Saccharomyces cerevisiae S288C: one gene and its partners. The gene in region 1 interacts genetically with each later gene. Each region holds a gene or a part of one and is shown on either strand. Other genes may lie near its edges.

Evidence for each region.
Region 2: mutations in CYT2 (region 1) and PRM3 together harm fitness more than expected from each alone (negative genetic interaction), as found in Saccharomyces cerevisiae (2 studies listed by BioGRID).
Region 3: mutations in CYT2 (region 1) and PNS1 together harm fitness more than expected from each alone (negative genetic interaction), as found in Saccharomyces cerevisiae (2 studies listed by BioGRID).

What each region holds. Positions count from the first base shown.
Region 1 is NC_001143.9:275,100-279,399, forward strand, and holds CYT2 (cytochrome c1 heme lyase CYT2), read right to left. Parts: upstream 2,765-4,300; coding exon 2,090-2,764; downstream 1-2,089. Other genes in the region: phosphopantothenoylcysteine decarboxylase complex subunit CAB3, read left to right, coding at 184-1,899; SRX1 (sulfiredoxin), read left to right, coding at 3,182-3,565; malate dehydrogenase MDH1, read left to right, coding at 4,024-4,300.
Region 2 is NC_001148.4:181,361-184,991, forward strand, and holds PRM3 (pheromone-regulated protein PRM3), read right to left. Parts: upstream 1,697-3,631; coding exon 1,295-1,696; downstream 1-1,294. Other genes in the region: RSA1 (Rsa1p), read left to right, coding at 43-1,188; MIY2 (ubiquitinyl hydrolase 1), read right to left, coding at 2,237-3,319. UniProt on the Saccharomyces cerevisiae protein: Required for the fusion of nuclear envelopes during mating, ensuring proper karyogamy. Plays a role in the initiation of outer nuclear envelope fusion.
Region 3 is NC_001147.6:635,645-640,351, forward strand, and holds PNS1 (Pns1p), read right to left. Parts: upstream 2,915-4,707; coding exon 1,295-2,914; downstream 1-1,294. Other genes in the region: mRNA transport regulator MTR10, read left to right, coding at 1-1,113; YOR161C-C (uncharacterized protein), read right to left, coding at 3,477-3,623; YRR1 (Yrr1p), read right to left, coding at 3,916-4,707. UniProt on the Saccharomyces cerevisiae protein: Probably involved in transport through the plasma membrane.

The DNA of each region.
Region 1 (4,300 bases):
CCATACGCTTATACTGTTAAACATGTGAACTTTTCTGTAAGAAAATGAATCACGTAAAATTTCGCACCGAACTTTCGTAGATGAGAGAACAAAAAGCAGAAAAAGAGAAAGAACAGTAAAGTAACACTTAGTTAGCATATTTAAATAAAAGTCTAAAGGACCAGCAAAGAGTTATTAGGTGTGATGACGGATGAAAAAGTGAACTCAGATCAGAATATGAACGGTAAGCAGGGAGTTAACTTAATTTCATCCTTGCCTACAACACAAGTGCCGGTTTCAATTTTGACCAACAAGGAGAGAAGAAAAAGTATTCACGATGAATCAAATTTCGAAAGATCTGATAGTCATGAAGATCAATCAAAATCCAACTCTAATAGGAGGAATATTTACAAAAACGATTATAGCACAAATTTGAGGGATTTCTCTTTTGCCAATCTGAAGCAAAATAGTGAAAGGAACAAAGATGGCCATGAAATACAGATCAACACCAGTATGCCAGCTAATACAAATGGCCAGCAAAAAAGGTTTTCACCTTCATTACCTTCTGCTGTTTCATTTACGGTGCCCGAGGTGGAAAGGTTGCCGTATCATAGATATTCGATATCCAATAAACCTGGAAAGCAGCAGCAGCAGCAGGAACAACTGCAGCAAAATCAACAACAAGAAGAGCAGCAAAAGGCACAACTGCAGGAGCAAAATCAACGAGCAAAACAGCAAGAAGAGGTGAAGCAAATTCAGGAGCAAGTGCAAAAAAAGCAAACTGAAAGACAGCAACTGATAGACGAAAAGGAGAGGATAGCGAATGCAATATTTAAGGAGAACACTACTAATGATGGTACTGATATCAGGAAACATTCGGTATCGAGTGGTACGAGCAATAGCGAAGATGAAGTAGATTCACCTTCGATGGAAAAAAATTCTATCGTTCATATGCCAGGTGATTTTATCTACTTCAATCCCAAGTCAAACGCTTCTAAACCTATCACTGCAAAGGCGGCGCCATTATCGGCTAATAACTCCACACATAAAAACAAGGAAGTTATCACTGCACCCACAGGGCCTCGTGTACCCTTCACAGAGTTCTTTCAGAAGGAAGACGACAAGAAATTCCACATTCTCATTGGTGCGACGGGCTCAGTTGCCACAATAAAAGTACCTCTAATTATTGATAAACTTTTCAAGATATATGGGCCTGAGAAAATCTCTATTCAGTTGATTGTCACAAAACCCGCTGAGCATTTTTTGAAAGGGCTCAAAATGTCAACACACGTTAAAATTTGGAGGGAGGAAGACGCTTGGGTATTCGACGCTGTGAATAAGAATGATACTAGCTTGAGTCTGAACTTGATATTGCACCATGAATTAAGAAAATGGGCTGATATTTTCCTGATTGCGCCTTTGTCAGCTAACACACTTGCTAAACTGGCCAATGGTATATGTAACAATTTGCTAACTTCTGTGATGAGAGATTGGTCACCACTGACCCCAGTGTTGATTGCGCCTGCAATGAATACATTCATGTATATCAATCCTATGACAAAGAAACACCTGACGAGTTTAGTGCAAGACTATCCGTTCATCCAAGTTTTGAAACCGGTGGAAAAGGTATTAATATGCGGAGATATTGGTATGGGTGGTATGAGAGAATGGACAGATATTGTAGAGATCGTTAGGAGGAGAATCAATGAAATACGGAAAGCTAGGGACGAGGAAACTGGTGATAAAGAGCAAGAACAAGAAGAACAAGAGGGTGCTGACAATGAGGACGACGATGATGAGGATGACGAAGAGGATGAGGAGGACGAGGAGGAGGAAGAAGCTCTAAATGAAACAGCATCCGATGAGAGCAATGACGAGGAAGACGAAGAGGATGAGGAAGACGTGAAAACCGAAGTTTAAATGCATTAGAAAAGAGTATTTTGTGTTATGTTTTATGTTTTATTTTTTTTTTTTTTGTTTATTCCTTAAAAGAAGATTACTGCTTTTTCATTCCCTAGTTTCTAAATTGAGTGCCTAAATAAGATTAAATAAATATGTATGTGGAAACTAGGGAGGGTATGTTTTTATTTACAGGAATAGTTGTAGTAATTCAAAAGCCTAAAGATTTCCAGAACCGTAATCTAAAGCCCTCAAAACTGTTTAATTTTGGTCTAACATCGAGATAAATAAGTGGTTGTTGCTGCGAGTTTGCATCGTTCAGATCGGTGGAATAGAAATCGATTACGTAGTCGACGGTTTTACCGCATCTATCTATCTGCCAATCATGTCTATCAAAAGGTTTGGCCAGGTGCAAGATACGGGACCTGAACCAGGCCCTTGGTGTCAGTTTTTTGGAATCACCTTTAAAATTTGTTAATTTGATACCGCCACACGCTTCACCACCCTGCTTGTCTTCCCAGCTTTTAATGTAGTTCCAAACCCGCTCATTGATGGAGTTATGTAAAGGCACAACCACCTTCATGTCATCTGAGTTCGGATCCCAATTTTTTTTCATCATTGCCTCGTAAAATTGTTTCTCCGACGGGTATATCCAGTTTCTGTCAGAATTCGTCCTTGGTATGGTGGAAACCTCTCTGGACTGAGAGAGATCCACCGTGGTGTGATATTCAGGCGTTTTATCGTTATCTTGTGGGTTTGCAGAGCACTCTAGTTGATTGCCTGGGGCAGTAGCACCAGGATGCGCTTCGTTGCCATGTTCTCGTAGCCATAACTTTTTGGTTTCCTCATCTACGGGGCATTTCCCCTGTTGGTCTGAAGACATCATAATATGTAAAATAGAGACGAATGAAAAGCACGTGAACTAACAAACTATTTACTACTACCGAAATGTGATGCTTAAGCCTTTGGCCTCTGCAATACTAGCGATTGCTTTTTCCCTGATTAGTAAGCTACATCATTTATACTACATCTTTCTGTCTTAGAAGGCTTACAAACATCGAAAAGCTGGAACTTTGATTTCGAAAAAAATATGCCGTTACCCGTTGCGGGTCCCTTTTTTTTAGAAGGCCGGCCCAGAAGTCGCCATTATTTTTAGTCATTACAGTAGCCCTGTTGGGTAAGGATGCGATGCAATACATGTCAAGAGGTGTTGTATATAAACCACAATATCTACCATCAATGAGCTATATATACTTTTCTTACTGAAAAAAAAAACTACAAAACCAAGTAAAAAAAGAACAATATGTCACTACAAAGCAACAGTGTAAAACCAACAGAAATTCCTCTCTCAGAGATCAGACGCCCCCTAGCGCCTGTGTTGGATCCTCAAAAGATCGACGCAATGGTGGCCACAATGAAGGGCATTCCCACCGCTAGCAAGACATGCTCTCTAGAACAGGCTGAGGCGGCTGCCTCAGCCGGGGAACTGCCGCCCGTGGACGTGCTGGGCGTGCGAGTCAAGGGACAGACGCTATATTATGCCTTCGGCGGCTGCCACCGTCTACAGGCATACGACCGCCGGGCTCGCGAAACGCAGAACGCCGCCTTCCCCGTGCGCTGCAGGGTGCTACCGGCCACTCCCCGCCAAATCCGCATGTACCTGGGCAGCAGTCTCGACATCGAATAATGATTACGCTAATAACACTACATAAGAAACATAGATAAATTATAATTCACTAATACAAAATCCCTCAATTTAATTAATCAATTTCTTATTCAACAACTAGAGTAGGCACTAGCAGTTTGTGCGACCCTCGGCGCCGGAGAGGTACAAGGGACCTGGCGGTTGGGCCTTCCTGCCAGCTTCTCCCCCCCTTCTCGGCATTCACTCAGCGTTCATTGGCTCAATCACGCGCCAAGCGGATTCCCAGAAAAATACAAAAAAAAGTTGCCATAATACAATGGCGGATATTACAATATATATAGCTTGCGCTTTAAAAAGAAGTGTTAGCACGCATTGGGTGTTTGTACTGTATTCCTCCACTTAAGATAACGAATACACATATAGATATACAATATATTATACGTGGACATCTACGGAAAGGAAGAAAAAAAACAAAAGGAAAAGGAAGGATACCATATACAATGTTGTCAAGAGTAGCTAAACGTGCGTTTTCCTCTACAGTTGCCAACCCTTATAAAGTGACTGTTTTGGGTGCAGGCGGTGGTATTGGACAACCATTGTCTTTGCTTCTAAAGCTTAACCATAAAGTCACGGACTTAAGACTGTACGACCTAAAGGGCGCAAAAGGTGTTGCCACCGATTTGTCTCATATTCCAACAAACTCCGTGGTCAAGGGGTTTACTCCAGAAGAGCCAGACGGATTGAACAACGCTTTAAAGGACACAGACATGGTTTTAA
Region 2 (3,631 bases), on another chromosome or scaffold:
AATCTCTTTTTCCATTTTGATTAGCTTATTGCGACATGGACTATGAATTATAATAACTTTGAAAATTCGAAGGGTGATGGACATTCTAGGCTTCCCAAACCTACATACTCCGGAACGCTATCAGATGGCTATGATGAATCGAAAATTAAAAGGCAAAAAACAGACTCTGCTTTTAATGCAGCTTACTCACCTCATATGTATCCGAACTCTCCGTATTATGAAGGTTCATGGAATACCGGTTATACTCCTCAACTTCATCATGTAGCCCCTCATAATCAATATTTCCATCCAATACAACCGTCCACTCAGTACAATTATACGAGTCCTCCCAATTATACAGAAAATTACATACCGCCAGTTCATCAGAATATATCTTATGCACCAGCGCTTAATTTACAGAAGTGGCCATCATCATATTGTGAAAACACTCAAGCCTTAAAGAATGATAAAGATTACCAAACATCAATTAGTTATGAAGATGTTGCAATACCGACCGTAAAGGAAATACAATTGATTGAGAAAAACAGAGGGAAAGATACGTTTATGAATGAAATAAGTCCAGTACCATCAAGCAAGGATCAAGCATCTGCGGAGCCTACAGAAATCCCAAGAAAGGATCCCGAGCTGGCAAATTCTAATGCCGAAGATGATCATAATAACTTAGGGCTAGAAGATGATGATCGTGATGAGCAGTTAGAATCAGAGGGGTTGGGTAAGGTGGTTTTGGTTCCTGGAACCTCCATAGCATTGATTACTGATGAAGATGTTAAAAAGTGGAGAGAAGAAAGAAAAAAAATGTGGCTACTGAAAATATCCAATAACAAACAGAAACATATGCAAGAAATGGGCATAAAGGAAGATGAACTGAAGAGCCAACCTAGCATTTTCAAAGAGTCAAGGAAAGAAAAGCAATTTATACAGAGTATTCAAAATCAAGTGCAGAGAGGAAATCCGAAGATTGACTTGAACTTGAAATTGATACAGCGAGAATTCGCAAACGAAAACTCCCAACTTTTGGACTTTATAAGAGAATTGGGAGATGTAGGATTACTTGAATATGAGCTATCTCAACAAGAAAAAGATGTACTTTTTGGGAGCTCTGAAGATAATAATAAAAATCATTACAAACCAAATTACAAAAACAGGAAACCTAATCTGAGTAGAGCCAACTTTACTAGAAATAAGTAATAGAATAGCAAATATTGATATACATGGAAGAGTACATGCAAAGGTGCGTAAAAAAAAATAAGTCAGATAAAACTAATTACTGTTTAGAAATCATGAGTATATGAAACTAATTTTGAAGAGCTTTAACTGCTAGGTTACTTAAAACAGTAGTTACAGCAGCACCAAGGAACGAACCGAAAATGGCACCTTGGTAAAATGAACCCTTATTCTCTCTCTGTACTTTACTTTCAGAAGCGTCTTTTTTCTTACTTTTCGTTCGTGATTTTGTGGAAGATGTTGTCGTTTTGTGCTTCCTGACTCTACCAGGCGACACAGCCTTCTTAATGTGTTGTTCATTATTAACTAATGACTTTTTATTAAGCGGTCCACCGTTTTTGGCTTTATTTATAACGAACCCATCAGCAGAGTTTGAACTTGCATCTGTCAGTTTATGCACTCTAAGTTTTTCTTGGTCGTTGTTTTTCTTCAGTGTAATCAATGCAGCGTTGTCTTCTTTCATTGCTGTCATTTTTTGGAGAAGTATTTATATATTTATTAGTTATTTAATGTGTTTATAAATTTATCTTGAGGCTGGTGAAATCTATTCCAAGTATTTTAAATATGTTTGCAAATGCGAGTCTACTACTTTGGTTCCATATGATGTCAGTTTTACAACAATTTATACTAGAGATAGCCAATATACTTGTTTCAGTTCTGTTTTGCCGTAATGGAATTATAGCTCCGACAAATGTAATCTTATGCACTGAAATTCAATCCATTGTGACAAGAATTATGTATTTTAGTTCTTATTTGATTTATTTCGACGCCTCGCGCGCGCTCTTAGAATCCGGCCCGACAAAGGATCTGAAACAAGTATAAATCAAATGGCCAATATAATGTCAAGCCTGTTTTATGTGGCAATGTTTAGACAGAAAATCACGCCTGTAGGGGTCCACATATCTCCAGAATAATTAGAGAGTCGGTGTCCTTATGAGATCTTCCTTAAAGCGAACAGATTGATTAATCATGTTTTACGCGAGGATATACGATAAAAACAAGTGAACAGCTCTTACATAACAACGCACTCACTTTTCTCTTTTTCAGAAGCTTTTGCATTGAGAAGGCTGCTTCTTCGCTTAAACTTGTCTTTTTTGACTGGTGCGTGTATTTCTGAGTTTTTTTTGTGAGAATGGATTTTCCTTTTTGCTTCAAATTTCGTAACACGTTCTTGTTCTTGTTCCTGTAACTGTTTGGCTAGTTCTTTATCGTTTTCAATTTGCTGAATTTCTTCAAGTAGCAAATTTCCAGTTCCAAAATCACGTTCAATGTCAGTTGACAATTGCTGTCCATTTACCTCTGCTGCACTAAAGTTACCGGCAAAAAAAGCATCGCAGGAGCCGTCCACCGAATCTAGGGATTGCCATACAATATCTTTACAATTTTTATAACCAAAGTCCGTAACCAATGTGTATAATCGATCTTCGTATTTGAACAATGTAGAAAAATGGTCATTTCTGAATAAAATGGAGAATTTGTTGTGTAGCAGCTTTTCTCTCAATCGTAGGAGTCCAAAGGCGGTCAACTGAGTCGGTGATTCGTTCAAAAACAGACCCAAATGCATGGCATCACGTAAAACTTCGTCCGAGTTTTCATCTTGGGAAATTCCACAATTTATATCAGCTGCTTGTGTTAAGATTCTCTGCGCAGATTCATAAGAATAATGAGATAGTTTCTCATCAATGTTTTCATTTATGAAACTGTTGATAACCCAGCCATGGACAACATCAACGTTAAACAATCGAAATATTGACATCTCTTTAGTATTTTCAAAAGACCCATTAAACTCAGGGTTAATATTTAAACCTTCATGTAATCTAGGTAACAAACTTAGTAACTCACTTATATCAGTACTAGGTTTATCTGTAACTTGTAAAGCGATATCTGCTAAGACTTCAATAAGTTCTTTTAAAGATATTTGACTTCCCTTATTTACCAACCTTATTAACTCATTGGAAAAACGTGTATGATCTGGTGAAAGTATTAGAATATTTGCAAGTGCTAACAAGGCACAAGGTCCGTTTTCGTTTTGCAGTAATATTCGATGGTTTTGACCATTAATTTTGACACTTTTAGTCGTGAAACTTAAATCCATGAAAAGATATTGCAATAAACAAGAATTGCAGTGATGTGAATCTACTTTGAGCTGTTCTTTAAAGCGCCTTGTAGAATGGGCATTTTGTCCAACGTTTTCAAGACCCTTTTTTCGTACTGCTCGCTGTTAATACTGCGAAACTAAAATAAACGACAGGCAGATGACTAAAACAAATCAAACAAGAACCTCTAGGGAAAGGTGTCCTAAGCGCGGAACTTCTTTTCGTTATGGGGTAAATAGAGCGGTACTTAATAATCTGTTTACAAAGCAATTTTACAAAGTTTTGATATAAGAACATTTAACTAAAGAGAA
Region 3 (4,707 bases), on another chromosome or scaffold:
AATTTGCGACAAATCGAGGCTTTGATTCCTCAATGGAAAGCAAATCCAACGCTCTTGGCTCCACAGATTGCTGATAAGATTGATTTGCTATATGCGCTTTTTGAAGAATTGAAACCGAGATACAATTATCCTCAGCAAGGATCGGAACCTTTACTCCCCAGGATAGAATTTATTTGGAAGGCATTAAGAACTCTGCTAGTTGATGCAGGTGCAATGACTGATAGTATTATCGTAGAAAGAGTAGCTAAATTGCTACGCAGAATTTTTGAGAGATTTCATGTATTTTGCGAGCCAATATTACCTTCTGTTGCCGAATTTCTAATCCAAGGTTATTTAACGACTGGATTCGGTTCCTATCTGTGGTGTTCTGGTTCCCTTATTGTTATATTTGGTGACGATGAATCATTCCCCATATCCCCGAGTCTGAAAGATGCTGTCTGGAAATTTGCCCTCTCCCAATGCGAGACGTTCATACTGAATTTCAACAAGTTTGATAAACTTCAATTAAACGATTATCATGAGGCAATAATCGATTTTTTCTCATTAATTTCAGACTTGATAATGTTTTATCCTGGCGCATTTTTGAATTCAACAGAGCTTCTAGGCCCCGTACTGAATGTTGCCCTCGAGTGTGTTAATAAGCTTGATAACTACGATGCTTACATATGTATCTTGCGTTGCTTAGATGATATCATATCCTGGGGGTTCAAGACTCCACCGATCTCAACAGTGTCCATCGAGATTGTTCCAGATGAATGGAGGAAGCAAGTTATTAACGAAGTCGTGATAGCCCACGGTAACCAATTGATATTAGTGTTATTCATCGGGCTGGTTACTACTTTTGAAAACACCGCTCATTCAGATGCCATCAGTTGTATTGTAAAATGTTTAAGGATATTGACAGAGGCAAACAACAACGATGCCACTATTTGCATCGATTGGATTTACAAAGTGGTGGAACAACTTGGCCAAGTAACCCTTAATGAAAGAGATAATTTGGCGAAGGCCGTGGTTGAGGGGTTGAATTCAAAGGATTACAGAAAGGTGAGGGAAGGAATTAGGGCGTTTGTTGGATGGTATTCAAGAAAGAATATCAATTCGAGGTTTGAATAGTCATTTAATAAATAGCATATTGTTAATCTGCACAGAATGTATAAAAACAAAATAAACAATTTAATAAAGATAGAACTTAAAGGTAATTGAAGTAGAAAAAATTAAGTATTAAAATATTGTAATTAAATATAGAATTGTTAAGAAGAACAAGGAGAAATAGTGACATATGATAAACATCTCTTCACACATTCTGGTGACTCAATTTTCTGAGTACATCAGGATATGCCCTAAAAATCTCATCAAACCTATGAGGGTAAGAATGATGGAAGACCTCCGGGTCATTACCAAGAGCAACAAAGAAAGTTGCAGTACCGGATCTAATGGCTTCTGTTGCAATGTTGCAAATCTGTAAAGCAATAACAAATGAGAATGCCATTAGGGCGCCGTTGTAAGCGCCGTTCGAATTGTATTGAGGCGAGGTAAACCTTAGATACAAGAACGTGAACAAAGCGGTCATATAACTAGCAAACATTGAAAATAGACCCAGTGCAATGTTAATTAAATTATCATTGATTAGGGCGTCCATTCCCTTTTCTCTTAACATATACCAGGTTTCTTTGGCCGCTCTTAAATACGGTTTACCATAAAGAGCGATGAACGAGTATGCATAATGATTGAAATACTCGGCGAGCCACTTCAGAAAGCCGATAATCCAGTCAAACACCATAAACAAAATCTGGATGGCAATTTGACCGCCACCGCTGGAGGTAACATCGTGTCTGATCATTTGCAATATTTGTCTCAACAGGTCGATCAAAGCGACTAGCAAGGACCCAAAGCAAATGGAACCGAACGAGTAAGTCATGGCTCTCTTCAATGCTCCAAATGCGGGCCACCTTGGCATTCCTTGGTCAGACTTTGACATATAATACCAGCTGCCAAAGACGCCAGAAATAACACAATGTATGACGTTTCTTATTACTTCAGAGATATAATAGCCGCAGAAAAAAACCACAACCAAAACACCAATCAATTTGGAATGCGAACAGCTGCCACCAGAAACGTCACAGCCGCCATTCGAGCTATTAGGATCGTACTTTATGTACGTAGCCACAATGACTGCTGAGAAGAGAAACCCAAACGCACTAGCAACTAGCGCTCCAACAAATGAAACAAAGAAGATCTGTGGGCATTTCTTCATGGCATCGACGACGACTTTCAATACCGCCACAGAAAGGGGAATTCTAGACCTCATACCCCAGTAGCACCACGCGGTCATGAACGTGAAGACTAAAAACACAATACCTGCAGACCAGTACCTCAAAGACATGTACATGATGGCAGTCCCAAGAGAAGCCACTAGGTTGATGACCATACCGCAATATATAAACTGCTTCGGAAAAATTCGACAAAGTGTGAGGCCCAAAACGGAGAATACTAGGGCAATAATGCACACGAAAACTAGCAGGATGGCAGCATTGGTGTTCAGCGTACCAGTATTCACACCATCGTATATTCCGGAACCCGTACTGCTATAGGTTTGGGACCACGCTCTTAAGGTTATGGCAGCAATGGCGATGAATCCGCCTACCGTGCATAGGAAAAAAATGGTAAATGGCCAATCGTTCCACCTGGGCTTGTTGTCATTTTCAGTAGGAAAGGCCTCGTCGAAGCTCCCTATAGGAGCCCCACTCGTTTTGGAATTTAGATTGTAATATTGATCCTGTCTAAAATGGTACGGCGTCTGGCCATCGTTGACATTCGCCGCGGCAGAGTTCTCGGAAGAACTGGGCGGCCTATGGTTGGGATCATATGCTGGAGGAGGTTGCGGAGGCCTCTCGTATTTTTCATTCAATGGCATGACGTATTAATGTACCGATAATTATGGTCACTATTGATGGCCCTAATCGGAAATATGCACCTTCAAGTTTTTTATAATGCGCAATTAAAAAAAGTAAGAAAGGAATATAGAAGCATTCAATTGCTATGATTACCAATAAGTAGCGATTACGACTGAACTACATTCAACGAATATCCGCATATCAATATATATATAAGGGCAAGCTACGTATAAGGATATATATGTGATGATAATGTTATATATAGCTGGCAATTACGCCATTACGCAAACAGAAAACCCCTTAAACCCCTCAAGGATCTACCGAAGGAAGAATCCTGTTAGAAGGGAACATACCAACCACAAAAAAAAAGAAAAAAAAGCATTCTGCAGTAATTAGCCGTAGTGGACTTTGTTTTTCTTTCTGCAAATGGCCGTGCGGTGTCGGGCGGGGTCTCTCACTCAGTACCATTACGTGTGATAACTCCGCTGGCGAGGTGCGCCGCTCCCTGCAGGCTCTCCGAGAGGAAATCTCTTCGCGTATGCTTATCCTTCATCAAGACGTCTTGGTAAGGACAACATTGCTCTACAGGATGTCGCCGCGTATGTCGCTCGAAGGGTAGTGAATGGCTGCATGTAGTACATAATTTGCGAAAAACAGTGGGCTTGCCAAAATCTGCCTCAGGTGACAAGCCATTTTTCCAGTGGGATGATCTACTCGTGTGTAAGACATGTCGAAACGCACGCTGTTGCATGAAAAGTAGTCGTACGGTTGTATGTGTGGTGTACGGGTGTAAAAGTAGTCAAGCGTATGGCGGTAAGCAGCGATTCAGCAATTCTATATCTGAATAAAGTGAACTTTTGTACCATCTTTAGTAGCCAGTTGATTCATTTTTTTCTGTCAGGTGCGGCCCATCATCGAAGTGGGTTGATAATCTGGGTAATTATATAAACATTTTGATCATAAAAAAGAACTAAAAAAAGGCTTCAAAGTAGTCGCGCCGCGAGATTGCCTCGACTTAGCATTAATTGTCTTTGTAATCATCGAAAAGAGTGGAAAATTCAGATTGATTAATCAACTCTTCCCAGCCTGAGTTATAATTTGCCCAAAATTCATCTGTCAGCATCTGAATGATCTCTGATTGACTCTTTGCATGGTTCTTAGTTTCACCAGGCGAGGGTAACATTGGAATTATTGAGGGCGTGGGCGTTGGAACTGCAAGGCTGAGATCCCGCTGCCTATCACTCACAATTTTAGCTTCTGATGATGGATTATCGCTCTGCGGATCTAGTTCTTGTTTGATTTGTGCTAGCCATGTTTCCTCGGTCAACTTTCTGAATTCAATAACGTTGCCAAGAATAGTCCTATAGGTCCTTTCAATAGCTAGCTCTATCACAAATTGTGATGATCTATGCATTGTGCGTATTAATTCTTTATTTCCGACCGTGAACAAGCGATCGAAGATTGACGAGTACAAGCTCATTGCTGTACCTAAAGATAGATCCTTGTCTAAAGGAACAGTCAATTTCGTCAAATCCGACCATCCAACTTCCATATCGTTGGATAGACATAGTCCATTTTCGAAAAGCGTCAACTTAAAGTAGATCAGAGAACAAAAAAACACCAATGTTTTGGAAAAAAGCCCTGCCGTGAGGCTCATTGATAACGCCATATGTGGCGGTAAGTGCGGGTTGGAGGCTTCGAATTTCTCTGGGTAAAGTGCTTTGTCGATACGATAGCATCGAATTGTGGTATTCACAATGATGGAAAAATTGATCAAAACCAATTGAAACGTATTATTTTTGGATTCTATGTT